4 linked regions of the Struthio camelus genome follow. The main gene of each other region encodes a partner of the protein of the gene in region 2 in a complex. Links are inferred from orthologs where the notes say so. Each region holds a gene or a part of one and is shown on either strand. Other genes may lie near its edges. The genes, in order: METTL3, RBM15, CBLL1 and WTAP.

Region 1 (7,724 bases), on a different chromosome or scaffold from region 2:
CTTGCTCTGCTGCTCCTTGGTGGACTGCTGGCTGAGCAAGCTCTCGATCTCCCGGTCGACGTCGGAGGCCTGCTTGCGCCACTTCTTAGCCGGTTCCTTGCCGGTTTCGGCGGCGGGGGCGGCGGGGGCGGCGGAGCCGTCGGCGGCGTCGGCTTGGGGCCGCCGCTTGCGTTCGGCCACGGCGCCGGTCATGGCCGAGAGCTTGGCGTGGTCGGCGTAGGTGACGAGGGTGGGTTGAGCGGCTTCCTCGTGCAGCAGCCCGCGGCGCACCTCGATGAGCTCCTGGGCGGCGAATTTCTGCAGCAGGCTCTCCACGCTGCGCTGCGCGGCCGGCGCGTCGGGCTGCGGGGCGAGACAGAGCGGGCGTTGAGAGCGGCGGCGGCGGCGGGAAATCCGGCAAGGGGGCCGGAGGAGGAGGAGGCGGCCGTACCGTGGCGATGGCGCGGCAGATGGCCAGCGCGTCGGTGGGCAGCGGCAGCGCCAGGTCGGCCAGGTGCCGCAGCAGCCGCCGCTCCAGCGCCGGGTCGGTGGTCAGCTCGGCCGCTCCGCCGCCGCCGGCCGCCGCTCCTGCTCCTCCTCCTCCTCCGCCGGCCGCTCCTCCGACACCTCCGGCCGCCGCCGCCGCGGGGGCGACGGGGGCCGGGCTGGCGCTGCGGGACGGAGGGGCCAGCGCCAGCTCCGGGTGACGGGGGTCTGGGGGCCGAGGGGGGTCGGGATCGGAGGGACGAGGCTCCTTCCTCCTCCTCCCACCCCCCCCTCCACCGCCCTGGCACCCTCTGACCCCTCCTGACGTCCCTTGACCCCCTCCTGACGCCCCTTGACCCCCTCCCGATGCCCTCTGACCCCTCCCGACACCCCCTGACCTCCTCCTGGTGCCCCTGGACCCCCTCCCGATGCCCTCTGACCCCTCCCGACACCCCCTGACCTCCTCCTGGTGCCCCTGACCCCTCCCGATGCCCCTTGACCACCTCCCGATGCCCTCTGACCCCCTCCCGATGCCCTCTGACCCCCTCCCGATGCCCTCTGACCCCTCCCGATGCCCTCTGACCCCCTCCTGGCACCCTCTGACCCCTCCCGACACCCCCTGACCTCCTCCTGGTGCCCCTTGACCCCCTCCCGATGCCCTCTGACCCCCTCCTGATGCCCTCTGACCCCCTCCTGATGCCCCTTGACCCCTCCCGACGCCCCCTGACCCCCTCCCGACGCCCTCTGACCCCTCCCGACGCCCCTGGACCCCTCCCGACGCCCCCTGACCCCCTCCCGACGCCCCCTGACCCCCTCCCGACGCCCCCTGACCCCTCCTGATGCCCCCTGACCCCCTCCCGACGCCCCCTGACCCCTCCTGATGCCCCCTGACCCCCTCCTGGTGCCCTCTGACCCCCTCCCAGCACCCTCTGACCCCCTCCTGATGCCCCTTGACCCTTCCCAACACTCCTTGACCCCTCCTGGTGCCCCTGGACCCCCTCCTGGTGCCCCTGGACCCCCTCCTGACGCCCCCTGACCCCTCCCGACGCCCCCTGACCCCTCCTGGTGCCCCTGGACCCCCTCCCGACGCCCCCTGACCCCCTCCCGACGCCCCCTGACCCCCTCCTGGTGCCCTCTGACCCCCTCCCGGCACCCTCTGACCCCCTCCTGATGCCCCTTGACCCTTCCCAACACTCCTTGACCCCTCCTGGTGCCCCTGGACCCCCTCCTGGTGCCCCTGGACCCCCTCCCGACGCCCTCTGACCCCTCCCGACGCCCCCGACCCCTCCTGGTGTCCCTGGACCCCCTCCCGACGCCCCCTGACCCCTCCCGACGCCCCCTGACCCCCTCCCGACGCCCCTTGACCCCTCCCGATGCCCCTTGACCCCCTCCCGATGCACCCTGACCCCTCCCGATGCACCCTGACCCCTCCCGACGCCCTCTGACCCCTCCCGACGCCCCTTGACCCCTCCCGACGCCCCCTGACCCCCTCCTGGTGCCCTCTGACCCCCTCCTGACGCCCCTTGACCCTTCCCAACACCCCTTGACCCCTCCTGATGCCCCCTGACCCCCTCCTGGTGCCCCTGGACCCCCTCCTGGTGCCCTCTGATCCCCTCCCGACGCCCCCTGACCCCCTCCTGGTACCCTCTGACCCCCTCCCGGCACCCTCTGACCCCCTCCCGACGCCCCTTGACCCCTCCTGATGCCCCCTGACCCCCTCCTGGTGCCCTCTGACCCCCTCCCGGCACCCTCTGACCCCCTCCTGATGCCCCTTGACCCTTCCCAACACTCCTTGACCCCTCCTGGTGCCCCTGGACCCCCTCCTGGTGCCCCTGGACCCCCTCCCGACGCCCTCTGACCCCTCCCGACGCCCCCGACCCCTCCTGGTGCCCCTGGACCCCCTCCCGACACCCCCTGACCCCTCCCGACGCCCCCTGACCCCTCCCGACGCCCCCTGACCCCCTCCCGACGCCCTCTGACCCCTCCCGATGCCCCTTGACCCCCTCCCGATGCACCCTGACCCCTCCCGATGCACCCTGACCCCTCCCGACGCCCTCTGACCCCTCCCGACGCCCCTTGACCCCTCCCGACGCCCCCTGACCCCCTCCTGGTGCCCTCTGACCCCCTCCTGACGCCCCTTGACCCTTCCCAACACCCCTTGACCCTTCCCAACACCCCTTGACCCCTCCTGGTGCCCCTGGACCCCCTCCTGGTGCCCTCTGATCCCCTCCCGACGCCCCCTGACCCCTCCTGGCACCCCTTGACCCCTCCCGATGCCCCTTGACCCCCTCGCGATGCCCCTTGACCCCTCCCGACGCCCCCTGACCCCTCCCGACGCCCTCTGACCCCCTCCCGGCGCCCCCCCCCGCCCCGCACCGAGCGGGTCCTGCTTCCGCCGCCGCTGGAGCCGCTCCCGCAGCGAGTCCAGCTGCTTCTTGTGCGCCTGGATCGAGCTCCACGTGTCCGACATGGCGCTGGCGGCTGCGGCTGCGGCTCCGCTCCCGGCCCCGGCCCCGGCCCCGCTCCCGGCCCCGCCGCCGCCGCCGCCGAACCGGAAGCGGGGCGGAGCGGCGCCCGCTAGGCCGCGCCCTGAAGCCGCGCGCGCCATCTTGGCTGCGGGCACGGCGGCCAGCAGAACGCCGCGCGGGAGGAGGGAGGGGGGGGGACGGTGTCCTAGCAACGGGCGGCGCCGCCCTCACGGCGAAGCCGCGCGCGCCATCTTGGCTGCGGGCACGGCGGCCAGCAGAACGCCGCGCGGGAGGAGGGAGGAGGGGGGACGGTGTCCTAGCAACGGGCGGCGCCGCCCTCACGGCGAAGCCGCGCGCGCCATCTTGGCCGCGGGCGCGCGCGGCCATCTTAGCGGCGGGCGGCGCCCTGGCAACGGCGCGCGGCCATCTTTGTTGCGGGCGGGGCCGCCATCTTACGCCCTGGCAGAGGGCGTTGTTGGGGGGGGGGAGAGGCGGGAGAACCCCCCCCACCCCCCAAAATAACCCATTTTCCTCCCCAAAATACGACGCCGCCTCCTCCCTCCCAAAACAAGAAGCGGAGACGAGTCACCGTGAAGGGCTTTAATGGAGGAGGCTACGCTGGGGTTGGGGGAAAGGAGGAAGACGGAGGAGGGGGGTCAAGATGGCGGCGAGGGGAGGCGAAGGGGGCGCCCTGTGCGCTACAGTCGAGGCGAAACTAGGATTAAAAGATAAAAAGGGACCCGTCGAGGCGCTACTTCTCGGCCGGGCCTTGCCCCGAAGCCGCCGGGGGGTCGGCGGGGGCCGGGGGGCCGGGTCGGGGGCGGCCGGCGGCCGCGAAGGCGCCGTACTGGCTCCAGAAGGAGAGGGCCGGCGGCGGCGGCGGCGGCGGCGGTGGTGGCGGTGGGGGCAGCTCCGGCGGTTTGCCGGCCCCACGGCTCGGCGGCGTCGGCGGCGGTTGGGGGCCCGGCGCGGGGCGGGGGGCGCGGGCCGCCGGGCCGCCGCTCCAGCATGGCGGCACCTGTTGGGGGGGCGGTGGGGGTTGGGGGGGGAAGAGCAAGGAGGCGAGGGAGGAGGTGGTTGGGGGGAAGAAGCGGCGTCCCGAACGTCCCCGTCGGACTGGGAACGTCCCCGTGGACCGAGAACGTCCCCATGGACCACCAGTGTCCCTAGAGAGGGACCATGAGCGTCCCCATGGACCGGGAATGTCCCCATGGACCAGGAACGTCCCTAGAGAGGGACCACGAGCGTCCCCATGGACCAGGAACGTCCCCATGGACCACCAGCGTCCCTAGAGAGGGACCATGAGTGTTCCCATGGACCGAGAACATCCCCATGGACCACCAGCGTCCCTAGAGAGGGACCATGAGCGTCCCCATGGACCAGGAACGTCTCTATGGACCAGGAACGTCCCTAGAGAGGGACCATGAGTGTCCCCATGGACTAGGAACGTCCCCATGGACCACCAGCGTCCCTAGAGAGGGACCATGAGCGTCCCCATGGACCAGGAATGTCTCTATGGACCAGGAGCATCCCTAGAGAGGGACCATGAGTGTTCCCATGGACCGGGAAGGTCCCCATGGACCACCAGCATCCCTAGAGAGGGACCATGGGCATTCCTATGGACCGGGAACATCCTTAGGGACTAGGAAAGTCCCCATGGTCTGGGACCATCCCTATGGACCAGGAAGGTCCCCATGGACCACCAGCATCCCTAGGGATGAGTGTCCCCAGGGACCGGGAACGTCCCCATGGACTGGGAACATCCCTATGGACCGGGAAGGTCCCCATGGACCACCAGCATCCCTAGGGATGAGCGTCCCCAGGGACCGGGAACATCCCCATGGACTGGGAACATCCCTATGGACTGGGAAGGTCCCCATGGACCACCAGCATCCCTAGGGATGAGTGTCCCCAGGGACCGGGAACGTCCCCATGGACTGGGAACATCCCTATGGACCGGGAAGGTCCCTATGGACCACCAGCATCCCTAGGGAGGGACCATGAGCGTCCCTATGGATGGGGAATGTCCCTATGGACCACCAGCATCCCTAGGGAGGGACCATGAGCGTCCCTATGGACCAGGAACGTCCTTAGGGACCACCAGCATCCCTATGAAGGGACCAGGAACGTTCCTATGGACCAGAAGTGTCCCTAGGGAGCACCAGCATCCCTACAGAGGGACCAGGAGTGTCCTTAGGGCCTGGGAACGTCCCTAGGGAGCACCAGCATCCCTACGGAGGGACTGGGAGCGTCCCTAGGGACCTTACCTGCCCCTGCTTCTTCGGCGCGGCCCCGTCAGGAGCGCCGTCCTCGGCCGGGCTGGCCCGCGGCTCCTCCGGCTGCGCGTCGTCCCCTCGGCGCGCTCCACCTTCCTCCACCTGGGGCTCGCCGGCTCCCTCCGAGGCCGGCGGCGCAGGGCTGCCGGCCGGGCGGCGAGGAGCGCCGCCTTCCTCATCCTCCTCCTCATCCTCCTCCTCTTCCACCACCACCTCCTCCTCCTCGTCCTCCTCGTCCTCCTCCTCCTCGGCTGGGGCCTTCTCGGAGTCATCCTCCTCGGAGGCGTCCTCCTCAGAGGCGTCCTCCTCCTCGTCTTCGTCGTCGTCGTCGTCGTCCTCCTCCTCCTCCTCGTCCTCGGAGGACTCGTGGGGCCGGCGGGCGGGCGGCGGGCCACCGTTGGCCACCTGCCCGCCCAGGTGCAGGCGGACGTGGTGCTGGAGGCCCGGGCCGTCGGCCAACTTCTTCTGGCAGATGGGGCAGGAGGTTCGGGGCCGAGCGGCGGCGGCGGCGGTGGGGCTGGCTCGGTGGGCGGCCGAATGAGCCCGCAAGTTGCCGCGGGTGGAGAAAGCCCGGCCGCAGGCCTGGCAGCGGAAAGGGCGCTCGGCGCTGGCGCCGCTGGCGTGCTGCCCTGCGTGCAGCCGCAGCGCCCGGGGGCAGCTCAGCACCCGGCGGCACACGGGGCACTGGTTGGAAGAGGACGGCGGCGGCGGCGGCGGCGGTGGCGGCGGTGGCGGCGGCGGGGCGGCCGCTGCCGCCGTCCCCGGCGTCTCTGTTGGGTCGATCTTCTCCACCAGCTGCTGCAGCTTGGAGGTCTCGGAGGGGGCCGGCGGCTCCAGGAGGAAGGGGAAGGCGGCGGCGTGGTGGTGGTGGTGGTGGTGGTGGTGGTGGTGGTGGTGGCCGCCCTTGAAGTGGTTGGCCAAGACGGCCCAGGCGGGCAGCTTGCCCGGCGGCGTGTTTTCGTCCCCCTTGGCCTTCTCCTCGGCCGCCTTCAGCAGCACCAGCTTGTTGAAGCCCGGCAAGGGTTGGGGCAGCAGCGGGAGGCCCTCGGTGGCCACCACCGGTGGTGGCGGCGGCACCGGTGGCGGCACCGGTGGTGGCACCGGCGGCGGCTTCTCGCCGGCTTCGCTCTTCTCCGGCGGCGGGCAGCGAGGTCCGGCCAGGAGGTAGTCGAGATGCTCGGGCACGGGGTGGGGGTTCATCTGGACGTGGGGGTAGCGGTCGCGGTGGCGGTGGAAGTGCACCTTGAGGTTGCCGCGGGTGGTGAAGCGGTTGCCGCAGACGTTGCACTTGTAGGGCCGCTCGCCGGTGTGGGAGCGCAGGTGGATCTGCAGGGCGCTGTCGCTGCCGAAGGCCTTGGCGCAGAAGCGGCACCGGTGCCGCCCGCCCGGCTTCTCCTCCGCCTCGTTCTTGGGACGCAACAAACCCGGGAAGGCCGGCGGCGGCGGCGGCGGCGCCGGGAAGGCGGCCGCTTCGGCTTTGGCCCCCCACGGGCGGTAGAGGTGGAAGAAGGTGGGTTTAGGTGGGGGGCCGGACGCCGGGGCCCGCGGCGGTTGGGTTTTGGCGGCGGCGAAGAGGGTCGGGGTGGCCCGAGGTGGGGCCGGGGCGCCCAACAGCAGGACTTGGCGGCAGATCTCCTCCGTGAGCTGCAGCTGGTGGAGCTGCCGCTGCTGCAGCACCCGCAGCTCCTCCAGCAGCAGCGGGATGTCCAGCGGCGGCGGCGGCGGCTCCGCGTCCATCGGCGGCGGCTCCGAGGAGGAGGAGGAGGAGGAAGGAGCGGCGGTGGCGGCCGGGGAACCTGCAGGGCGAGAGGGGCCGGGATTTGGCGCCGTCCCACCCCGAAATGCACTGGCCCCACAGAGGGGGATCAGGGGAGGGTTTTCCTGCCCCGGATGGATGGATGGATGGATGGATGGATGGATGGATGGATGCACCATGGGGTGGGCAAGGACACAGACACGGATGGATGGACGGATGGATGGATGGATGGATGCACCATGGGGTGGGCAAGGACACAGACACGGATGGATGGACGGACGGAGAGACCCGGAGACGGAGGGGAGGAGGGACAGATGTGGGGACGGAGGGACGGATGGACGGACACATGGATGGAAGGACGGACACGGGGATGGAGGGACGGATGGACGGACACATGGACGGATGGATGGACATGGGGACAGAGGGATGGACGGACGGGGGATGGAGGGATGGATGGACGGACACATGGACGGATGGACGGACACATGGATGGATGGACGGACACGGGGATGGAGGGATGGATGGACACAGGGATGGAGGGATGGATGGACGGACACGGGGATGGATGGACAGACACGGGGACAGAGGGATGGATGGACACGGGGATGGAGGGACGGATGGACGGACATGGGGACAGAGGGATGGATGGACACGGGGATGAAGGGATGGATGGACACGGAGATGGAGGGACGGATGGATGGACACATGGACGGATGGACAGACATGGGGACAGAGGGATGGATGGATATGCAGATGGAG
Region 2 (7,527 bases):
TGTGTGGAGGAGTAGGCAGGGTTGGGTACAGAACACAAGGGCCTTAGGATGCCCCACGGACAATGATCATGACCAGATAGTCGTCCTCTGATTTGGCCAGCGCCTTGGCCGTGGAGTCCAGGAATTGCTGGGAGAAGTCGCAGGGTGGAAAGGCGTGCAGGACCCCGCTGTTCTCCTTGTCTTTGTTGCCCCCCACAGGGAGGCTGATCACCCCAGCAGCCTGCTTTTGCTTTAGATAGGACACCAGATTCCTGAGCGGCCTCTGGGTGGAGGTGGTGGCAGCCTCGCTAGCTCCAGATGAGGAGCGGTTGTCTGATGTGCCAGGCACAGCCAAAAGGATGGCATACCCATTGGGACCTGCCACCTTGATGCGACGAGTGACCTCGTCTAGCTTGGGCTGGTCCAGACGAAGACGTTGTGTGATCTTGAGCTGACCTACTTTACCCCCAGTTGCTCCCTCCACGAGGAGACTGCTGGCAACGCTGAGGTCCCCCTGAAGCAGGTGCATATTGGACGGGAAGTTGCTGTTCTTCAGCAGAAGCATCCCCTGCCAAGCCAAGCACAACTTGGGGGCTCCCCCGGCCTGCGACGTTCCATCCTGCTGCTGCTTCTGAGGCGGAGGTTTGAGCCGCGACCCTCCACCGCCTCCTTCCGTAGCGCGTTCATCCTTTTTGGCTGGACTTTTGCACTCCTGCGCAGCAGCTGCTGCAGAAGCGCGATGCTTCCGCTCTCTTTCAGCGGAATTCTTGCGGTCGCGTTTTTCATTCTGGCCTCGCTCTAGGCTTCCCCTGCGCGATTCCCGGATAGGCGAGGGCCGCTCCAACAGGAGCAAACGGGAGGAAGAGCGTTCTGGGTCACTACTATAGCGCTCCCGCCCTCCGACAAGCTCAGGGCTGCGGTCTGGGGGAGAGGTTGTGGCTAAACAGTGACGCTTTCGGGACGAAGAAGAGCGCTCACTGTCCGGAGAACGGTCCAAGTGCCGGCCTCCATCCTCCGCCAGTCTCCGTTTCCTAGGCTGATCCCTACTGCTAGTGCCCAACTCCCTCTCCCCCCGGTCCCGCTCCAAGGACCAACCATCCCGACGGCGATCTAGGCTTTCCAGTGGGTCATAGGCAGCTGCCCGATTACTCCTATCCCGCACAGGGGGTGGCGGAGGCACCCACTCTGTCTCAGAATAAAGGTCTCTGTCGCGGTCTCTATAAAGCAACGGTGGTGTCCTGTCCCGAGCCCCCCGAAGAGGATCTGGCGGGGCCCCCCGGTGAGCCCCAAATGCAGCAGCCTCTGCCACTAGCTCATAATGAGCAGGAGGTGGCAACGGCAGAGGCTGCAGGTAGGGCTGCTGGTACCGATGCTCAGTGTCAGCAAAGTCTACGCGGAGTCGGCGATCCGGCCCACCCAAGGGAAAGCCACGCATATGGGTGCACGCTGCCTGTGCCGCGTCCAAGCTCTCATACTGGATATAGGCCCACGAATCCCCTTTGCGGTAATCAATAGTGCGAATGGTGCCAAAACGGTCAAATTCCCTGGCCAGGGCAGCAAGGGGCACCCAGGGCCCAAGGCCGCCCACCCAGAGCCTGGTAGTTGGAGTGGCTTTACCATACCCAATCTTGATGGGGTTGCGTAGAAGCACCTTTCCTGACATGGCCAACTTGGCCCGGTGCGCCATGTCCAGATTTTCAAATTTAAGAAAACCGTATGTGCTGGTCTGCCCACGGCCTGGCCTTTTGATGTCCACCTCAGTGATGACCCCAAAACGGTCAAAGGCTCGGCGTAAATCAGACTCGCTCACGGTGATGTCCAGGTTGCCCAGAAACAACGTGCGGTTGGCTCTCTGGTCGTCCTCGGGGCTGATCTCCTCCTCACCGGCTGCTCCGGCACCCCCTCCTCCTCCGCGGAAGCCCCCGGCAGCCGCCACACCGGCCACGCGCTCCAGCCCATAGGCCGGCCGCACTCGCGCTTCGTAGAAACCTCCGTAGTCCCTCTCCCTCTCCAATTCCCTGGGCAGAGGGGGCGGAGGCGGCAAGCGGCCCAGGGCGAGCTGCTGCAGCCGGTAGTCTCGATAACCCAGGGCTCCTCCGCTACTGGCGGGCGACAAGGCCCGCTGCGTTGCCCCAGCCGGGGGGTGCCGCACAGCGGCGGCTGCCGCGGCCGCCACTCCCACGGCCGTCGTGCCGTAGGGGGACTCCTTGTCCAGCAGCGCCGGGGAGCGGCTGCTGCGCCGCCGGCTGCTCCCTCCGCCACCCCCGACGTAGACAGCCTCGATTTTGAGCGGGCGGTCGTAGAGGACGAGGCGGCCGCGGGCGTGTTTGGCGGCGCGGGCATCCTCGGGCCGGCGGAAGTTGACGAAGGCCACGCGCTCGTCGGGGGCCCCGGTGCCCGGCGGGAGGCGGCTGATTTTGACGCTCACGTCGCCGAAGCGCTTGAACTCGTGGAAGAGCCCGTCCTCCACCGCCTCGTCGCTCAGCGCCGAGCCCAGCTCGCTGATCTTCAGCGTCTTGTACTCCCCGCCGGCACCCGGCTCGGAGGAGGAGGAGGAGGAGGACGGGGCCGCCGCCGGCACCCGGGACTCACCCCCGCCGCCGCGGCTGCTGCTGCTCCGCGATGGCTCCGCCGCTTTGCTGCTGCTGCTGTAGCCGTGCCGGCTGCCCCCGCCGCCGCCCGCCGCCGCCGCCCCGGCCTCGTACTCGCGGCTGCCGGCGCGGCCGGCCTTGTCCGGGTGCGGGCCGCGCCGGCTGCTCCCGCTGTTGCTCTCGGTGGAGGCCGCCGCCGCCGCCGCTTTCCCGCCGCTGCCGTTGGAGCCGCCGGAGCCGCTCGGCTTCTTGCCGCTCCGCTCGCCCCGCGCCGACGAGGAGGAGGACGCCGAGTCCTCGCCGCCGCCGCCGCCCCGCGACCGCTTGGCTTTAGCCGGCGAGCGCTCCTTGCCCTTCATGGCGGCCGGCCCCGCGGCGCCCCCCGCCCGGCCCTGCTCCCCGCCGCCGGCCTCACTGACTGACTGACCCGCCGCGCTCACGCACCCGCCGCCATCTTGGAAGCCGCCGCGGCTACGAGCCCCGCCCCCCCGGCGCCCATTGGCCGCTTAACGCGGGCCCGCCGCCCTCGTTGGCCGGCGCGCGCGTCACCCCCACCCCCCGCCCCCTCCGCGCGCGGCGGGCGCTCGCGCTGCCAGGGCTGGCTGGCGGAAGACCCGCCCGTTCCCCCCTCTGTGCCCATTCCGATTGGCCGAGCGAGCTGTCTTTCTCCGGGCCGGCCTCGCGCGCTGCGGGAGGAGGGCGCGGAAGGAGCCGCCCCGCTCGCACTTCTTCCCGCCCCGTTTGCTTAGTGGACGGTTAGAACGAGAACGGCCTTCTCATTGGTCGGGCTGCCATGTCAATCATAACCGTTCCACGGTAGGGGACCGCCCCCGCTCTTTGGCCATTGGGCTAGCTCAACTCGTCTTTCCGATTGGCTCGCCGGCCTGCCACTTGCAACGGTCCTGGCTGTGGCCCCTCCTCGCCGCTTCCCATTGGTTCGCTGGCTGAGACGCGGGCTCCCATCGTCCCTCTCAAATTCTCGCGAGCTGTATTAACCCCGCCCTCTGTCCTCATTGGCCACTGGTAACCTTTCCTTTGCTGCTCTGATAGGCTGAAGCCTATGCCTCTCCCGAAGAAGCGCGGGCTGCTACCCAAGCTTCACCCTTCGTTTATGATTGGGCGAGAAAATCTCCCCAGGCATCTGATTGGGTGCAGCCGCGTAGCTTGCGGATAGGGTAAGGAAGCGGTCAGTCACGCTTGCTCTGACTCTGATTGGTTGCAGCGAGGGAGGGGGTGGTTCCCCAGGAGCGTTCGCCGTGCGGCTGCTGGGGCGAGCTCAGAGCGCGCCGGGCCGGGGCGCGCGGTGGGGGGAGGGGCGCTGGTCTCTTCTGCTTTCCTCAGGCCGGGCGGTGCGTCAACGGCTGGGGCGCGGGGGCCAAAAGGAAAGCACAAAAAGAAAGAAAAGCCGGACCAGCCAGTATTCCCACATTTACAATTTTTCTGTCACAGAAGACGTTATTTATATTAAGGGAATTCCAGTCACCGTCCAACCGAAGCGGCTCTAACCCCGCTGACCGGGCTCCCGCTCGCTGCGTGACACCGCGTGGGCCTGGACACCTCCCGCTCCCGCCCGAGCCTCCCCTTGGCCTCTGCGTCGGAAATAAAGACTCAGATTCCCCGGGGGGAGAAAGGCGTAGGGCGGCGGGCCCTGCCGCCCCCAAGGGAAGAGCTACCCCTGCCTCCCGCTGGCCCTGCGGCCGCCCGCCCCCCAACCCGAAGTTCGCACCCCCTCCGCAGCCCCGCGGCGTTTCGATTCCTTTCTTTTGGCTGCCCTCAAAATGCTCGGTTTGGAAATTCGGAAACGTCCGAGAAAAACGCAAACCTGCAAGCGCGCTCGGAAGAACTTGGTTTAACCCGGCACTGCTACGGCCCCCCCGAGCCACGTTTACTGTCTGAAAAGTCCCCGCATCTCCGTGTCACCCGTGGAAACAAGAGAGCTCCCCAGGAGCAGCTTAATCCAACAGAAGGGGAATTGAATCTGATTTTTTAATAGCAGGCCATTAGACTGCATTTCTCCCTGTCATATCATCGCTTTCTGACAGAGATGGTACACAGCAGTTCCTGAAACCGTGGGTGGGTTTTAAATGGTGGGTAAATAGCTGCTCTCTAAATATAGACCGAGGAATGAGAAAAATTGTGTTTGAAATATATGTCGGGCTCCTGAAAATGAGATTCTCCCATGCAACGACAGGGAGTTAACCTAACATGCGTATCCGAGACGGGCCTGCTTGGCTCATGTGGATATAATTATCCTGAAAGTATATGGAAGACAGATACAATTATGTGGCTGCGGATCACCCAGATAACAGCGATCCGAAGGAATGCCAAAGAGGCCTAGAGTCACAGGCGCAGAGCGGTACCGGGTGTCTTAGAAACACAGCATCATCCACGACTCTGCCAAACGGGCTTATTGCAACCACTGCTCGTGTCTGATTCAAGCTGCTTTCCTGGGAAGACACAACCGAGTGAAAGTGCTCTGGCGGGGTTTCTTTTTCCCTCCCCTTAGAAAAAAATAAAATGCTATTCCATCTGGGTGTTAACATTTTGCAGCAACGTCTCAGTTCCAATGCCAGGGCTGTCGGAGAGGTTGCTGGAGCTCAGGGTGGGATCAGTTTAGAAGGGCGACCTGGCCGCAACCTGCTTCGGGGAGCAGAAGCTCCCAGTTAAAACAACCAAAAAAAAAAAATCCCACCACGTCGGTGTGCATCAGATGCATCCACAGCCAGTGCAAATACCCCTCGCAGCCAGCTCTCCCTCTGGGTTTCCTGTGGTTTCCGTCGGAGAATCACAGAGGCACCAAGGAGCCTCGCTCCTTGGCCAGCCTTTTTTGGAGGCGAGATGAAAACGGGAGGAAACCTACCTTACCTTATTTCAGCTTCATCTTTGAGGTTACATCTGGTAAAAACTGGAACCGTTCCACTGGCTTGAGAGGAAAAGCGTCACGTTAAACAGTTAATGATAAAGACTTGTAACTCCCCAGACTCTGCCAAGGTCCTAACCACTTCCTTGTGGTGCCTCAGTTTGTGTGTGAAACACAGAAATTAAAATTCCTCGGCTGATGACTCATAGTTTAAAAGACACCTTGGGTGAGCAATAGGACACATCACCAAAGGGACATCTGTCTGTCATTTAATCTGATTTCAGCCCTTCTTCCAATCTGCTCCTTCAAAGGGGGGAATCTTCTCCTGGATTCTTCCGCCGCTGCGTCAGCCGCGGTCAGAGATAGATCTCTGCAACAGGCAACTGGTCACTGACAGTTCGGCAGGACTGAGGCATTTCAGAGCGGGTTTTGGCACTGGAGAAAGGAAACGCAGCACCTGAAAAGAGCCCTGGAAAAGAGCACGTTTTGTCAGGCCATGAGAAAGAATACAGCGTGAGCAGGAATCTCCCCCCAGGCCCAGACTAGATAAAGAGTACTGTCTGTGTTTATATATGTGTATAAATAATTAAGGTGCCAGATGGCCCTTGAGCCCATGGCCTAGATATAAGCATCTAATTACATTTGGTGTCAATGGGAGTTGGGCATGCAAGTACCTTTGAGGACTTGGCCTGATCCTGGGTAATACTTGCATGTTGCAGAACCAAAGAAACTTGCCGTTTTCTGCAAAAGCCTTTCTCTAGCAGTTTAACTATATGTCTCCTTTTCAAAGTCTGGATTGAGAAGATCTTAGAGGAACAGGTCAACTTGACCTAGGAGGAGAGGCAAAGAGGGCTCCTTGCCTCGATCCCAAACCAGCTCCGAGTGCCACTGATTGACACTGGCAAAAGACTTGTGAGCGCCTCAACCGGGGAGGTGTTTGTTTGGCCTCCGCAGTTTGGTATTCAAGCAGGCTAACTTTCTTCCTGGAGGAGCACTTGCGTCCCAGCTGGCCATTAGAGACATCAAAATACATTAGCTTCACTTAGGCGAGGCCACAAGAGCGCTCCAGGGACGCGAGCTGCCGGCTCAGAAGTGAGCTGTCTTGCACTCTGACCTGAACGCTGCGCAGGGGAGGCGAAAGCTTCCCCTGGTTAGTCACTGCAATTCTCGCAGCGATCTCTGCAATGGCCCGGATCTAGCACTCGCAAGCAGAAAAAGCTGGAGAACATCCACCCTGCGGGATCCTGGTGAGGTTTGGCAGCGATCCGCAAGGCAGCTCCCAGCACCTCGAGGAAAGCAGGGAGGGAGCCGGTTTCTTTCTGCAGCTGAGCAAGAGGTGGCTGGGACGTGCCGGCACTCTCACCGGGAGGCAGTGTCAGAGGACTGGGTTGAATTCAAGAGTCCTCAGCCAGTCTGGTCTCCTGGATCAGCTCTTCTCCTATTACACTCACATGGTGACAGTCCCTCTAGACATGCAGTGTCAACCACCAGGAATTTCTCTGGGTTTTATCCCTCGCTTGTCCTGGAGGGGTCAGGCACGAACTGGTCCCGCTGCCTGTTTGTTCTTCTGGGTACCAGGAGCACATCCCTGTGCAGATCAGGGATCAGCGTCCTTGCGCTTCACACCGAGGTCAATCAGGAGTGACTCTGCTTGAGTTAACCGGTAGCTAAAGCCAGGCTCCCTTCCTCCCTGCTCACGCTCAGTTCAGCACCATCCCAAAGGCTCTAGGGATGACTTTTGCAGCAGTTCCCCAGGCAAGGCGGTCCCTTCACCCCTTCCCTCCCACATACCTTTTTTGCGAGCATCCTTGTCAGCATCCCACTCTGCCAGCACCACCTGGGTCCCCCAGCAGAGGATCTCAGACCGTCGGAGGTGGCTGCCTCCCTTCCCCTCCCTCCACCCCCGGACTCCCCAGTCTCCTGCTCCCAGGACCTCATCGCAGCCCCAATCTCAGGCTGCAGCCTGTCCCGGGGCTAACCCCTCTCCTACCCCAGCAGGGTCAGGCAGGCAGCCCCCAGGCCCAAGCCCCGTTGCCGGCAGAGGGCAGCGGCAGCCCACTAATTGCTGGGGCCTGATCCGGCCCCTCCACCTGCAGC
Region 3 (7,869 bases), on a different chromosome or scaffold from region 2:
GATGCTTACAGTACACAGTAATATCTTTGCTAAATTAAAAATTAGCACTCCCTCCTATACAGAATTCTCTTTAACCAGTTTTAAATCTGAGTACCAGGGCAAAGGAAGAAAGCAACAGTTCAACACACACGTGTAGATATGGGCCTGAATGCATAATCTAGGAGTCAGTACTGTAACAGGCAACACTCAGACAACATGAAGGGGTACAATTCACACACCTTCCCAACTTTCAGTAAGTCTACCTTAACCCACTATATAGCATCTCATTTATACAAACATAAAAGATGTCTCACAAATTGACACATCACGCTATTCTATCAATGTACATGCCCATCAGCTCTTTGTAATAAAAAATAAAACTTCTATAAAATCATTACTAGACTCATATTTATAAGCCTTTAACTCAACATCCATTACAGGATAGACAGACATGCAAGACCATGAGCAGGAACACAGCAGCTAAACTTATGTTTTCAAACACAAGCAATCAAAAATTTCATTAGGAACTCTCTTGCATGTCTTGGCATTTTGGAGGGCTGGGTTTTGGGTTTGTCCCCCTTGCAAAATATTTCCAGTGCAAGTCCTGTCCATGTTTGTAGCTGGAAAGATAGGGACACAAATATTTAACATCCTTGTCACTTCTGGTCTGTCAAGAGAGGGGTTAGCATCAGCTGGTAATGTTTAAAAGTGGGACCTTCTCAGCCCCCAAGGAGAGTGCCACAAGCTATTATAGAGTGAGCCCTACTGTTCAACCTCAGATACGGCACTACAGCTCTGGCATGACTACTGCGGCTCCAAAGCATTGCAACAGGGAAGCATCTGGACACTGGAATTAGGTCCAGGGAGTGTAACACTGCACAATACCTCACATAAACAACTACTGTCCCTCAAAGCTTATAATCTCCATATACAACACAACAAGAAGAAGGAGAAACAGAAAAAAAAAGGTTAATGAGGACTTGCTCAAAGTCATTCAGCAGCTAATATCAAAACTAGGAACTGAGACAAGTTGCAAGTTGGGACTGCGCCCTAGCAGTTACTTTACCTCAAAATCAAGAACGCCAATTTTCTTTGGGTCAAGTCTATTTATTTCTTAGTACTGTGGTTGACACGTTTCAATCTAAAAGGCAAAATGTAAAAATAGCAAAGGCAATAAAGCTTGCTTTTACTTTTGTTAATTTGGGGGAGTTTAGGCCATCCTGTTGGCTAAACAGATGATCCAGCAAACATGCAACTCAAATACAAGGCTTACCCAGAGGCAGTTAGACTAGAACATCAGAGACAATAATGCTAGAGCTGTTGACGTTCCATGAGCTGGAAGTTCTGTTTTCTGTTACAAAAGTTCTGAGACTAATCACTAGTCCTCTAACAGAAAACCTAAGGCAAACAGTGCTACTGGGGCAGAATGAGAGGAAACAATCTTGAATTGAACACACAAAGGCACTACACTAGAGACCAAAAAGGTCTCTGCAGGACTTCAATTCTTTTACAAATGGGAACAATTAAAATAAGTTTTAAAAACAGAAATTTTTTTACCTCATTTAGTCCACTGAACCAAAAACAGGAGAAAATGGAGTTCTGATACTTCTCTTCCATATACCTTTGCAAGCTAGGAATATTTACGTGACTTAGTTGCTCAACTAATCCAAACGAACAAGTGTATTAGTCATTCCTATTTCATAGGAGAACGATAACCTCAAGTTCGTGTAAGCATAACTAGCAGGAATAAGTCAAGAAAAAAATATGAAAAACGTAGCAAAGTTGTTTAGACTATTTGAGAAGATACGATGAAAAGTGAGACACTCTCTTAAGTTGTCGTCTCCATCAGCTTCTCTGAAGCTTTTTTTTGTACTCTAAGCTTTTGTTTTTTAATTTATAAATATAGTTGGAATACTATACTATATGTGCTTATAGCGCAGTCATTCCTAAAGGAAAAAAAAAAGTCATCTACTTATGTATTCATTAGATTACGCCAGCATACCAACGAGCAAAACATCAACGCTACAAGAACAAATTTCACGCGCGACATAAGAAAACGCCCGAGAATCTCCGGAGCGCGATCCGGGAAGCAGAAAAGACATCATCGGCACCGATCTCGGGAAACGAGCGCCTCTTTCCCACCTCCCGAGCGCCACGGGCCGCCTCCACCTGCTGCAAGCCCGCAGGCTCCGGCCACACGGCCCGCTGGCGCCCGGCGGCCGCCGCGCTCAAGCCCGAGGCTGCGCCGAGGCCGCCGCCGCTCGCCGGCCGGGGCCGTGGCCAGCGCCCCCGCCTCCCCTGGCCACGGGGCGCCGCCGAGGCGGCCGTTGGGCCGCTCGCGCGCGCGGGTTGGGGGGGGGGGGGTCAGGGCAGCCCCGCGCGCGCCGCAGGACCGTTGGAGGGCGCGAGACCGCGGCGGCGGCGGGCGCGGAAGGGAACGACCAGGCCCCGCCGCGCGGGCCGCGGCGAACGGCGGCGAACCTCAGGCCCCGCCCGCGTTACCGGGCGCCGGGCCGCGTCCCCACCACCCTCGCACCGCCCCCAGCCCGGCGGCCCCGACCGCGGCCGCTCGCCGCCCGCCGGCGCGGAGCGGGCCCGGTCGGGGACGGGTATAAATGGGTCTCCCGGCCTCTCCCCTCCTCACCATTGTGGTCCATGATTCGGCGCGGGGCACTGTGGGAGCGGAAGGGTGGGGCCGGAAGCGGAAGTTGCCGGGAGGCGGGCGTGAAAAAGGGCGCTCTAGGGATAAGTCCGCGGCGCAGCGCTCGGCGCGTCTCTGCGGAGCGACTGCGAGACACCGAGGGCGCGGCGGAGCCGGCGGCGAAGCGGCGGGGGTCTGGCGAAGCGGCGCCGAGCCGTAACTGGCGCCTCTCTTTCCCAGCAGGCACCGCGAGAAGGCGGTGGGGGAGCGCCGTGCTGCCGCAGCGCCCGCTGGGATAGCGGCTGGCGGCCTGCTGCCTCGAGGTTCTCCCCCCACACCTTGGTAGGGCTGCGCATGCGCCATGGGGTGCCTGCGGGGATGGCGGCGGGTTGGCGGAGAGGGGCCTGGCCGCCCTGCGCGGGGCTTTCCCGGGGCGGCGCGGCCCTCGCCCGGCTCCGGCCGCGGCCCTGGCGCTGCCCGGGGCGGCGGGGAGGTTCCGTGCGGTCCGCTCAGGCGCCGCGCTCTGCCGGCGGGCGGCTCGGCCTGCGCTGCGCGCCGCCCTGGGCCCCCCTGAGGCCGCAGCTCGCTGCCCTGCGCGGGCTTCCAAAGGCCCTGGAAACACGGACGTGAACGTGCGCCTTCGTGGAGGAGGGGGAAACAGCACGGAGGAGGCCGGGCTTTGTGCGCGGGGGCTGCGGCCGCCCTGCCTGCGGGCGGCGCGGCGGCATGCCGCGCCTGCTGCCCGTTTCTGAAGAAGCTGGGCGAGTCGCCGGGCTTGAAGCCACGTTGGGCTCTGTCAGCTGCTGATGAGCTGCCTTAAGTCTTACCAGAGACGGGACAAATTCCTTGCGCTCAGAGCAATCCCGTAGTCAGGATTACTTAAAAACCAACCAGACAAACAAAACAGTTAGTGACTTAAGGGAGCAGCAAACTCCAGTGCATCCTAAAGCTTGATAGCACTAGAGCTCTGTGACTGTTCTGATATTTTCATAAACTTAGCTTTTTGTGACTTCTGACCAGTTAAGGGGGAGACTGTCTATAGAACAGGTTTATAGCACTGAAGAAAGGAGAGGAATATAAAAATAACTAAATCATAGTCTATAGGGCTTAAAGGGATCGTAAAGCTTAAGTCTCTTAACCCTTCCAGAGTTGTAAGGTGGGGACAGCTCTACTTCAGACACTTAAAACTGATGACTGCTTGTCTTGCTGAATCTCCAGGGTTGTGACTTTGTGTCCATGCAGACAGCTCTTCTCATTACCTTAAAATTAGCCTTACCATTAAAAAGCTGTGATTTAAGCCTACTGTATCTTCTCTTATCCCCAGAAGGTACAGAGACTTTGCTGGTTGTCTAAAATAAGTGGCAGATGTAAGGGAAATGAGAAACCTATCCCTACATAATACACTTTATTTCACCATAATATGAATTCACAAAAAGAACAGTTTTTAAAAACAGAACAGATGCATGGAGAAACTTTTCAGTATGCACAACTTTATTTTCTAGTTAATGGACATAATGACTTTTAAAATGTAGCCTTTTTAAAAGGGTAAAAAACAAATACGTCTCCAATTTAATATTTGACGTGCAAAGATGGTAGTAATCACAAGTGCAGATAAAAATATCACTTCTGCATTCAGCTGAAAAAGATAATCACATATATCTTGTGCATTACTTATGGATGTCTGAATTAGTACAAAATTGTACAGAATTTCAGCTTCATTACAAAACCTATTATTTTGGTATTCTTCATTTTGATGGATATGTAGATAAGAGTGTTAAAAGGCACGTATTCCCTGCCTCACTGAAAAAGGCATCTGAATGCCTTCTGCATGTTGCTCTTTATTGTTTTGGGCAAGTGTAAGCTTTATATGAAATGCTATTATTCAGGAAAGGTGAATATTTTTTAATAATAAAGTTAAGAAATGCAACCTTGCCTTGAAGAAATATGCAGGCCAAAAATAAGTGCGTTGCATTGTATTTTATTACAACTAATTCCAGCTAAAATGTCATATTTGTAAAGAAAGCTAGAAGACTGTTGAAAATATATATATATGTATTTTTTCTAAATACCTATATGGGCAAGAACTAGAGAAGGTTCGAAAATAATCTGTGCCCACATTTTTGTCAAGTAAGAATCTGTGCTCAAACTTCACAGTGCAGATGTTCTCTCAAGGACAAAACATTCACTGCTATCTTTCTAATATCACTTTTTTCTGCGGTGTTTGTTCTGCCTAAAAATAGCAGAAAGCTCCTTTACCAGTCCCAAGCAGAATGTTTCCTTTTGCTTTTTACATAAAATGTACATCCACTTTAGAGGAACAATACATCCTCTGAGAAACATGCTACTGGCCTTATCCTTCATTCACGTGCATTGGCAGCAGTGGCTTGTATGCAGGATAATATAAACTGAGGCCATGGCCTAATATGAAAGGTTTGTCAGTAATGTTGGCAGAAGCACCAACCTCCTGAGTTATGCTGGCAAATGGAGGGGGAGAGAATGAAGATAGGAAGTGTTTGCTATTATTTCCTAAAAGCCTGAAGTGTCAAATCACAGCCTGAGCCTAAGCATTAGTGTAAGTTTAATCAATGCTTCCATCTTAGGAGGTGCAGGTCGGTCTGATTTGGCTCTTAAACACATACCTAACTCTCAGCTTGTGGAGAAGCCTGTCTGACGTAAGAATTGCTCGTTCCTAACTCTAAGCGCAGGCCTGCGTTTTTGCTGGTTTGAACTAGAACATCAATATCATGTAGGATCAAACCTTTACTGCATTTGAAATGAGAAACTTTGCCGAGTGCCATGAAGGCTGAAGTTTTTGTCTTATTTAGAGAATGAAGACGACAGTCTTTGGTGCAGTTTCCCATTGTGGAAGGATCCTGGTCAACTGACTGAAGTTTATAGGAATTTTTTTCACTGATTTTGAAAGAGTTCACTCCGGTCCTTAGAGAAGAATAACTTACCTAGTGCTCGGCTTTTCACCTGAGATTTTTCCATTAACATCACCTGCAGTAACATAACAGTCTTCTCTGTGCAGTGTGATACAAGAAAATTTGTCTGACATACTTGAATAAAGAGACTTAAATATGTGAACGTACTAAAGCTAATTGGCCCACATGGTGAAGCTTAAAGGGGTTTTAGAGTCTGTATTTCTTAAGCTTTTGGTATTACATATTCCCTCACCACACAGGTTTTTCTCCATTTTAAAAATTAAGATAGTGCTAAAATATTTAAGGTAGCAGTCTGTTTTCCATTGAAACCAGTTTCTTCATGATGAAGTTAAGATCATTGATTTCTTGCATATGTATTTTATATAGTCCTAAAATCAAGGATTAAAATTTTGCAGTTTGAATCCTGTGTCTTGTGTAAATTATTGCACTTGAGCATTATGGACTGTCAAATGTCTATATGTTTCCTGTAGAAGAACAGCAGCTGTTTGATGTAGTATATTAAAAAATATATATGCTATATAAAAAAATAGCTATTCCTTAAACTAACTAAACTCCTACAATTCATTAAAAAACCTTATACTAGCTCACATTCTGACTTATATTCTGTAGCAGCCCATTCTACAAATTTCATTACGTATTTGTGGAATAAGGTTTTCGTTAATCTATGTCATGATCTGCCTCTCGATCAGCTATAGATACATAACCTAGCCAAAATAATCTTATGCGTATACTTGATTTTTTTGATTTTTTTATACTTGTTAATTTTTCATTAACAGGAGTGCATGATTTACTACAATGGGATGAATGCAGAACTAATGAACCACTATCCGAGGGCCTTTTCTATTGAAATTTATCCTAATTATTGTTTTATAGTAGTGCAGCACACAGTTTTGTGTTTGTGTGACTTTGTCACTTGTCCTGTGTTTCATTTATCTAACAACCTGCAGCAATTCAAGGAATTGCTTGGAAAGAACTATTGAGGTGCATTTTTCAAGAGTTTTGTCAGCAAGTGTGGTCACCTTAACGTTCTAGGACTGCAAAGCCTTGGCCAGCTAGAACTCCTGTCCTCTTGCTAGGCGTTGTACAAATACATAACAGGAGGTCTCCGATCAAAACATTTGAGTCTCTTCAACTCCCCTGGGCTAGGTTAACACAAAGCAGCTTTTCTTCCTGAACACACTGAAGTGACGGTGTGATGCACCTTCCCCCTGACTAGTTCCAAAACTGATTAAGTCTTTTGTAATAGATTTTTTTTTATCAACGTATCAGGTCAGAACTTGCTCACTGAATCAGTCTGGAGTATTTCAGGGATAATGGTAGTCAAATGTGGAGATTTCTAGAGATCTGCATCATTCAGACAAGGAATCAGGGTTTTCTTCAAGTGCAAAGATTGGTTTCATTGCAGAAAATGTTTTTATAATACCGGTGCATAAATATTGCTGTGAGTTCACAGGTATGACAGTACCAGCAGTTCTTCATGAAGCGAGTCTGCGCATAGCCTATTGACAAGTTTTTCAAAAGGTGGAGAGAAAGGGACAATGGTTAGTGCTGAGTACAAATCACTTGGAAAAATAAAATATTTATGTACAAGTTACCAACCTGGCCTCAATGAAAGTACAAATAAAGTAACTGTAAAAGGTCTCTTCGAAACAGCCCCCCTCTAACTGGAGCCTACATCAGACACTTCGGTCAGGAATTTGCAGATCTGAAAGGTACTAGCTCTTGCCTTCAAAAAAACTGGCCATAAAGGTGGAGGATGGAAACCTCTCAGAACGGTTTGACCTTGGACTGGTGGTTTTGTGCCAGCATTCTTTTCCTTATTTTTCTGTAATGTAAATAACTAAGCTCTCTTGGGAATCGGAATCAGAAGCCAGGGCTTTTGGCCTGCTTATCTTCATAGCTTTGTGAATCCTTCACTCCTTTCTGCCCAGTGGCTTCCAGAGGAGTGGAAAGTGCTTCTCCCCACAATAACCTGTTGCTTAGAGTACTCACCAGAGAAGTGGAAGAAGTGTGTTTGTCTCGTGTGTGCTAAAAAGTAATATTTGGATCTCTTGCAATATTCATACCAAACAAAAAAAGGAGGGGTTGAAATCAGGAGTGCCAAATATCACAATCTATTGAACGAGCCCTGATGAAGTTTAAGAGGCTTTTGCTTTGGTCTTAAGTTTTTCCTCTCACTGCTCTGACTCCCAGGCCAATCTGACCTCCCTGGTCAGGTTTTCCTAGGAGATGTCACGCAGTGGAAGAAAACACAACACAAGGTGATGCTGACAACCTCTACCCAGCCACAACTTCCTCTTACCT
Region 4 (7,349 bases), on a different chromosome or scaffold from region 2:
CAAAAAGATAAATGCATACCAAGTGAACAACAGCTCCTTCAACCTATATTAACATTCAGTATATAGCACTATACCAAATAAAACTACAATAACAACTAAACACCTACAGTGCACAGGTGAAATGGCTTCCAAGCCCTTCATAAAGTAAAGGGGGACATTAGAACGAACAGAAAAGTTGCTAATAACACTCAATACAGGCATCTATGACCAATGTCAGCTTCCTGTTCCTAATCTTCATAACACACAGGCACTTCAGTGATTCTCTACTCTAAGAGGTCTAGGGCCCCCCACCATCAACTCTCTCACACATGAGAGAACTTTAACTTCTGGATGCAGCTTCCCACTTAAGACTTTTATACTTTTACTAAATGCAATATGAAATGTATTAGAGACTATCGATACAAACCAATGATGCTCAACTCAAGTTAAACTGATATTTTGGATGACTAAGATCATATGGGGAAATGCTCACAGCCCCCTAAATTTAATGGCCTACTTCCCCATTACAATTTTCTTAAAGATTTTCAGACACTTAACTCCTTCAGTATTTGGAAGGAGTTTTGAAGATTTCAGCAGGATTCAAGTCCTTAACAGAGAGATCTGCCTTTCAAATGTCCCATGGAAATACACTTAGATTAAATCATACCTAACAGATATTATCATGTGTCAGAAAAACAGTAGGAACACACAGGTATCAAAAAAGATGAATTTTCCAAAGACTTGGCTTGTGAACCCTTCAGCAGTATACAGCAAACTAAACACTTGAGTGCCACTGCAACAGCAACCGAAAGAAATTAAAAGCTGATGCTCCATCCTTATTGCCCGTCTCCAGACCTAGCATAAGACTCCCACAACCAGTTTTCTCATGGCAGCACCAAACCAGACTACCCTTCTAACCTCTAGGCCCAACACGTTCCCACTTACAAAACAAAGCCATCTCCCTGCTATCTGATAAAATCCTTTAATGCACATGCTGAAGATAAAAAGTCCACTGCATTACATAAGTTATTGTTTTACTGTCACCTGCTTTCACTTGTAGGACTAGAATTGTTCACTAAAAAATACCCTGAAAATTTTTAGTAAGGTATTATTTTGGAAACCTAGGTTTATCACATCTGAACTTCTTACTATGACAGCTAAGTGATCATGTTCTTTTTGTATGTGCAAGTTTCACCTCATGACTCCTACGCAACAGCTTTTTTTTTGGCACCCACAGTAACTTACAAACAGCTTAAGAGTTCATTATTGCTATAGGTTGTATTTCTATCACTGTGCTCAGTGTTTTTGGAAGCATCAGAACATCAGGCTTACTGTATCACTTAGCTGTCACAGTGATTTGCTTCAGTTCTTTCTGTGCTTACCAGATAAGTTATGCAACAGACATTAACAATATTATTACAACTCAAACATTCATTCATTGAGTCTAATAGAGTAATGTGGAGTGCTGTGCAGCAAGAGATGCATCTCACCACGTGCCTACTCTGAAAGACAGATGACCCTTGTGCTAAGCAGTTCAGTAATATTTTGCAAGAATAGGATGAACTGCCATTTTCTGACTGGAATTATCATGATTACACTTCTCAATTAATACAATGAATAATTTAGCCTGTGCTATCCTCAGTAGGCACTTTCAGGATTTCAGAGCAGTGATACCTGTTAAACTCCACAACTTCTACATCCGTTCCTGGCAATAAGCAATATAAACCTGTGTTTCACCCTTAAAAAGGGGCCATCATAGACACTAAAAGAATTCTCCTGTAATCTCTAAAGTAATTGAACTATGAAAGGGCTGAAACAGGGAAAGTGCGTTTTAATTTCAGAAACTGTAGTTTTCTGTGCAACTTTTACTACAACATTTAGAAAACATAAAGTTTAAAGATTAAAACAAGCACTACGAGCTAAGAGACAAGGCAATCAAGTAATACCAGACATAACTCAAGTGCTGCTTTACTAGCAACAGTTGAAGTAACTCCTAGTTATTTCAACGATATGAAAAAGCATACCGTGGGAAAAGCCCTCGAGGCCTTCAAGTGTCCCGAAACAAAAAGGTTCAGAGTAAGATGCCGGCCTATGAAAGTTTCCACGCTAGCCTCAGCGACCGCGGTCAGGAGCCTCGCGTAGCCGAGTCCTGCGGCCGCACCCCCTCCCAACCCAACGGCGGGCCGCTGCCGCGCAGCCCCGCCTCCTGCGCGGAGACCCCGCCAGTCCCCGGCCAGGCGCAGCTGCAGGCCACTGACCCCACGGCTCGTCACAGACGTTTGACAGACCCTGCCACCCCCTTCCCCTCCCCCCTTCTGGCAGGGCAGGCACTACCCGCCCCGTCGGGCCGTCCTCGTTCAGCTTCAACTGAAGGGGGGGAAAAAAAGAAAAAAGGAAAAAAAGAAAAAACGCGTCTCCCTCGCCCAGAGGGAGCCCCGGCGGCGGCGGCGGCGCCCGGGCGTGGCGGAGCCGAAGGCTAGGGGAGGAGGATCTCAGCGGAGCAGCCAGGCCGGGCTCGCGGCCTCGCACAAAATGGCTCTAAGTGCTTCCGCTCCTCCCCCCACTTGGGGTGAGAGATGGAGCCGCCGGGGTTGGTCGCCCCGGGACCGCGAGGTGCTCGGTCCCTGCCGAGGGCCCCGCTACCTCCTGCGGGGGAGAAGGGCGGCGGTACCAGAGAAAGGGGGAGCCCGGCCGAGGGGAGGAGCGCTCGCGCGGTCACTCACCTCCCGCCCGCGGTGCGGAGGCCTCACTCTCCCAGCACACTGGTTGCCTGGGCCGCACCCGTCACATCGGGGGCGAAGCGCCGCCACCTCCTCACACCTGCCGCCACCTCCGCGCGCGCGCCCGCAACCGGCTCTACCGGGACCACTGCTCCGGAGCCGGGGTCACCACCGCGTGCCCCCACCCCGCGCTTCCTCACGTACCGCTCCCGCCCGCTCTTTATTTGCGGATTCTCTGCGCTACAAAATGGCGCCCAAGGAGGAAATGAGCGCCCAGCCGCCCCGCCCACCGGCCGCCCCCCACGTTCAGGCGGCGGCGCTGCGCGCGCAGCCCCGCGCGGCGCGAGCCGCCGCAGTGGCCCGGGCCGCGGGGTGGCCGAGCCGCCCGGTCCGGCTCTGCCGGCCGCCGCCGCGCCTCCTTTGGGGAGCTCGTCCCCCGCTCTCTCCCCAGCGGCAGGCAGCACTGAGATGCTCCTTCCGTCCCCGCGCCGCGGTTTCCCTCCTTATTTGAATGTTGATTTAAAGCCTGTCAGTTAAACGGGCAGAAGGGAGGGGCGGGCGCGCGGCGGGTAGCGAGCCGCGGGGCATCCTGGGGGCGGGCCAGGCGGGGGGAAGCGGCCGCCTGCCGGCGCGAGGGCTGAGGGCAGCGGCACCGAGCGCCTCCCCGCGGCCTCACGCGTGAAACAGGGCGTCCGCCAGGGCCGACAGGGAGCTGCTGCCGCGGGGCTGCTCCTTCTGGGCGGCGCCGTGGGAGCGCTGCTTGGCGCCTTCTTGGAAGACACGCTGAAAAGACAGCGGCTTTTGAAAACGAGGATTGCGCACAGCCAGGCACAGCCAGTGGTTAGTCTGCAAGATGGGCACCTTGCTTGTCAGCATTAGTTCCGCGGCTTTCTGCCTGTCTTTCACGTTGTGCAATGAAAATTTTCACTCAGTTAAATTCACCTCAGTGGCATAAGCGCACATTAACGTCATCAGTCAGCAAATGAGGGAAAAAAAATCCTAGCTGTTTCCAAATACGCTAAACTTTAGCTTTAACATTTGGGGAAAAAATAGAATGAAACATACTGATTGCCCTTAATTGTAGTCTAGCACTGAACAACTACTTTAAAATCGAATTTCTGTCTTGTTATCCATGATTTCTCAAGCAATGCTATTAGCACAATTAGATGTGTTCCCTTCTTGCCAACAAAGTAATAAAGCTTCTGTAGGCTAAATTAGTGTCAGCTGGGTTGCACGATGTGATTGATTGCAACTGAATTTCTGTGGAAGACACTCCAGAAATCTGTCTTCTTGACTGTGCTACTGATAGCAAGAATAATATATTCACTGCACAAGAGATTCCAGTGTACAGAGGTGCAGATCCACACAGCACAGATTTAAAAAAAAAAAAAAAGCTCTCGCTGAAAAAAAAATTAACACCCTGACCAAGCTTTAAGTGACCTGACTGTTGTCGCTTGAAATTAAAAAAAGAGAATGATGTGACTAATTACCACAAGGAGAGTGAAATCAAAAGGGCTTGAGTACGTTCCTCTGAAGTCTTATTTTTTTACGTGAAAAATACGCACTGTGATTACAGTTTGAGGTTCACTGCTCCTTTCACTGTTTTTTTGTACACAGACACCTTGCAGGTACTTCTTTTAAGCACTAAAGACACTAATTAACAGATAAAGCCATCTCAAGAGACAGCAGCATGGGAGAGGTGTCAATATACCAGAATAGTCCTTACTGCGAACATTAATGTAGAAAATTGATTTTATTTGCTCATGCACAAATGTAAACATTACAACACTAAAATGCACGTAAGCCAAGTAGGACAAGAAACGGAAACTTTTTTACATACAAAAGAGATACAGAGATGTACTTAAGGCCATTTCTATTCTGTATATAAATTACCTAATGTTTTCTAGGTATCACAAATTGAACACAAGATCTCCCAACATTTGCCAAGGCTAGAGTTTAGCTACTTTTTTGTTATGTTGGGAAAATGGATCTCTCTTCAGTCTTTAATCTTTAACAGTATATGTAAAGTTCTAACTCTGATGGGTCAAGAGATACCGGACCTTACACTTACCATTGGTACCTGTTGTTCTTCCAGGTCATAAGCATGTAGAAAATAATCCTGCATTCTTTTCCCTTGTCAGCACTTAGTTATTTTAAATTTAGTTTTACAAGTGTAGATTACATTTATGGGAAACGTACTAGCTGAGCAAACGGCACAGAGCCAGAAACACCAAGAGATAAGTGGATACAGACTGTAGAGCTTTATATTCTGGCCTTCCTTCTAGCCCTTAGAATTACCATGTGTATTATCAGCTATACTTAAAATTTTTATGTGAGAAAATACAAACAGCAAATTGTTAACTAGTACCCTGATAGAGCACATTTCACTGAAATAGTCTCTTATTCTGCTTGCACGGCACCTAACACAATGAGAACTGTCTCAGTTGGTATATTTTAATGCTCCTAGAATAAACACCTTAATAAGCACCTGCATTGGGTTATGTGACAATATAATAACCGGAATAAATTTCCTTTTCAAATAATAGGTACTAACACAGCTCTTAATAGCATTGCTTGTCCACAAATGAGAGGGCAAATAAGCATATCTGTCCGAAAACCAGTGAAAAAACAGAATTCAGAAAATAGCACAACAAATATATATACTGCTAAGTTGAAATATGAACCAGATTATGAACACCTGGACAATACAGCTTTCCATAAATTAAACACGAGAAATAAATGCATTTAAGATGAAAATAACCACTGTACTTCCACAAAGCATATTGTATTTGTATCTCCTATTGTTTAAGAAGAGATCATAGGAATTGTATTTTATTGTTGCGGACTCTCTTCTACATTTGACTTTGATATAAAATTGGATTAAAGAAAGAAGAAAACTGTATTGACAAGAATGCCATTTGGCATTAGAGTAACACCCCTGTATTCCTCCATAACTTTCCACACTTTTTCTAGCTCTGTTTTCAAGTCTAGGGCCTGCTCAGCAGATACTAATAACAATAGAGTTTTTGGTTTTGTTTCAGATCTGTTCATATTGTCTCATCTGGTTTTAGGTTCTTCAAAAGACAACATGTAGTTCACTAACCTAATTATTTTCCTGCTGGAAGGCTTGTGGCTTGTAATGGTTCTTACCTGCTCTGTTCTTGATTTCTTGTTTCATGTTACAGCCAGTTGGAACAAAACATTAAAACACTCCATAAATGTAAAAAAAAAAAAAAAAAAAAAAAAAAAGATGTCAGTGACAGAATAGTTTTAAACTCGGAAAAAATGCTCTTTATTACATTTTGGCTTATTTTTTCTGTTAATAGTTTGTCCTCTTCATGCCTTCACTTGGACTAATACTGCCCTCTCCTGTGCTTACTGGATGTCCCAAGTTCTTTGGGTAGCCAGCAGCTGACACACAGTTGGCAGAGCTGAAGCCCTGTTTTAACTGAAGCACTTGGTATGTGTTGTGGCTATGAAGCTTTGTAAGGAGTCAGAGGAGGAGCTGCTGAGCTTTGCAGGCAGCACAGTTTTCTTGCCATTGCTTATCTCGGACGGCTTTACAACAGGATGGTCCCAACCCAAGCAAGATCAAGACAGTACCACTAGCGTGAAGTAACCAGAATTCATGCATTATATCTCTAAACCCTCAAGCCAGATTAGAAATCACACAACTGTTTGAAATACAAACGCACTGAATTTTAATACTCTCTACTGTCTTAGGCTGTGTGAGCCTTAAAGACAAATTTGTTTCAGGCCTCCAAGCTTTTCTACAGGATCATAAGGGCTATTTTTCCCCTGCATTTTCATGATTCAAAGTTGAGATGTGGATGAAATACTATGTCATGGGAAACAGGGCTTTAAGGACAAATATTTAATAGCATAAAAGTCACATAAAATAAATTGTAAGAGATGACAACTACAGTCTGCAGATCAGAAAAGCTAGGATATTAGTAAGAAATAAAGTCAGATAAAAAACTGTTCAGAAGAAAAAAATGTTTGGAGTACTGTTATGAACATTTGTTAGCATTTTAAAAGATCTTAAAATAAAAGGAACTAAAGGCTAATCAGCTTCTGAAAAGATAGTCCTTGACTTGTACGGATGTAAGATGGAGGAAGGCAAAATAGTGGTTTGCAACTGGAACAGAAACTGAGCTCCAAGGGCACTGGAAAAGGCTGCTGTAGCCTACAGATGCGGTGGGCAAATAAAATATATGGATTGCTGTACTGAAAAAAATGACAGAGATATCCTTCGGGTAACTACCACGTGAAAATCTGGACAGCAACAAGCCCAATTTTAAGTTCAATGCACTCTCGCTCTCCAAAAAAAAAAAAAAAAAGCTTTCTAACTAGTAGGCTGCAGGCTTTCTTTACATCATCTGACAAGACATTTCTAAGCATCTTACTGGAATTATTGCACATTTTTGTTCCATTTCTAAAGCGAGAGGTAGCTAGATTTTCTTCAGACAGCTCCCATAAAGACTCCTCTTTTAATTACCGATAACTGTTTATAAATATACATAGGTGCTCATGAGAGCATATAAAATCAATAGTATAATCATGTGCAACTCTACTATCTACAGAGCCAAATAGATTTACAACACTTGTCTCCAAGACTGCAGCACATGTGATGACACTGTACACCTGTGA

Evidence for each region.
Region 1: RBM15 (region 2) and METTL3 share a complex: the UniProt entries of both Homo sapiens proteins name them as parts of the WMM complex. The link is inferred for Struthio camelus from reciprocal best matches to the Homo sapiens genes RBM15 and METTL3.
Region 3: RBM15 (region 2) and CBLL1 share a complex: the UniProt entries of both Homo sapiens proteins name them as parts of the WMM complex. The link is inferred for Struthio camelus from reciprocal best matches to the Homo sapiens genes RBM15 and CBLL1.
Region 4: RBM15 (region 2) and WTAP share a complex: the UniProt entries of both Homo sapiens proteins name them as parts of the WMM complex. The link is inferred for Struthio camelus from reciprocal best matches to the Homo sapiens genes RBM15 and WTAP.

The regions. Positions count from the first base shown.
Region 1 is NC_090970.1:84,333-92,056, forward strand, and holds the start of METTL3 (N6-adenosine-methyltransferase catalytic subunit), read right to left. Parts: upstream 3,006-7,724; 5' UTR 2,936-3,005; coding exon 2,842-2,935; intron 694-2,841; coding exon 431-693; intron 343-430; coding exon 1-342. Other genes in the region: SALL2 (sal-like protein 2), read right to left, coding at 3,685-3,951, 5,201-7,005. UniProt on the Homo sapiens protein: The METTL3-METTL14 heterodimer forms a N6-methyltransferase complex that methylates adenosine residues at the N(6) position of some RNAs and regulates various processes such as the circadian clock, differentiation of embryonic and hematopoietic stem cells, cortical neurogenesis, response to DNA damage, differentiation of T-cells and primary miRNA processing.
Region 2 is NC_090965.1:4,446,765-4,454,291, reverse strand, and holds the start of RBM15 (RNA-binding protein 15), read right to left. Parts: upstream 3,014-7,527; 5' UTR 2,930-3,013; coding exon 44-2,929; 3' UTR 1-43. UniProt on the Homo sapiens protein: RNA-binding protein that acts as a key regulator of N6-methyladenosine (m6A) methylation of RNAs, thereby regulating different processes, such as hematopoietic cell homeostasis, alternative splicing of mRNAs and X chromosome inactivation mediated by Xist RNA.
Region 3 is NC_090942.1:16,396,010-16,403,878, reverse strand, and holds the start of CBLL1 (E3 ubiquitin-protein ligase Hakai), read right to left. Parts: upstream 3,002-7,869; 5' UTR 2,637-3,001; coding exon 2,624-2,636; intron 1,927-2,623; exon of another isoform or gene 1,537-1,926; intron 1,121-1,536; exon of another isoform or gene 1,046-1,120; intron 1-1,045. Other genes in the region: SLC26A4 (pendrin), read right to left, coding at 7,041-7,064. UniProt on the Homo sapiens protein: E3 ubiquitin-protein ligase that mediates ubiquitination of several tyrosine-phosphorylated Src substrates, including CDH1, CTTN and DOK1. Targets CDH1 for endocytosis and degradation.
Region 4 is NC_090944.1:85,123,618-85,130,966, forward strand, and holds the start of WTAP (pre-mRNA-splicing regulator WTAP), read right to left. Parts: upstream 3,004-7,349; 5' UTR 2,703-3,003; intron 2,179-2,702; exon of another isoform or gene 2,004-2,178; intron 1-2,003. UniProt on the Homo sapiens protein: Associated component of the WMM complex, a complex that mediates N6-methyladenosine (m6A) methylation of RNAs, a modification that plays a role in the efficiency of mRNA splicing and RNA processing.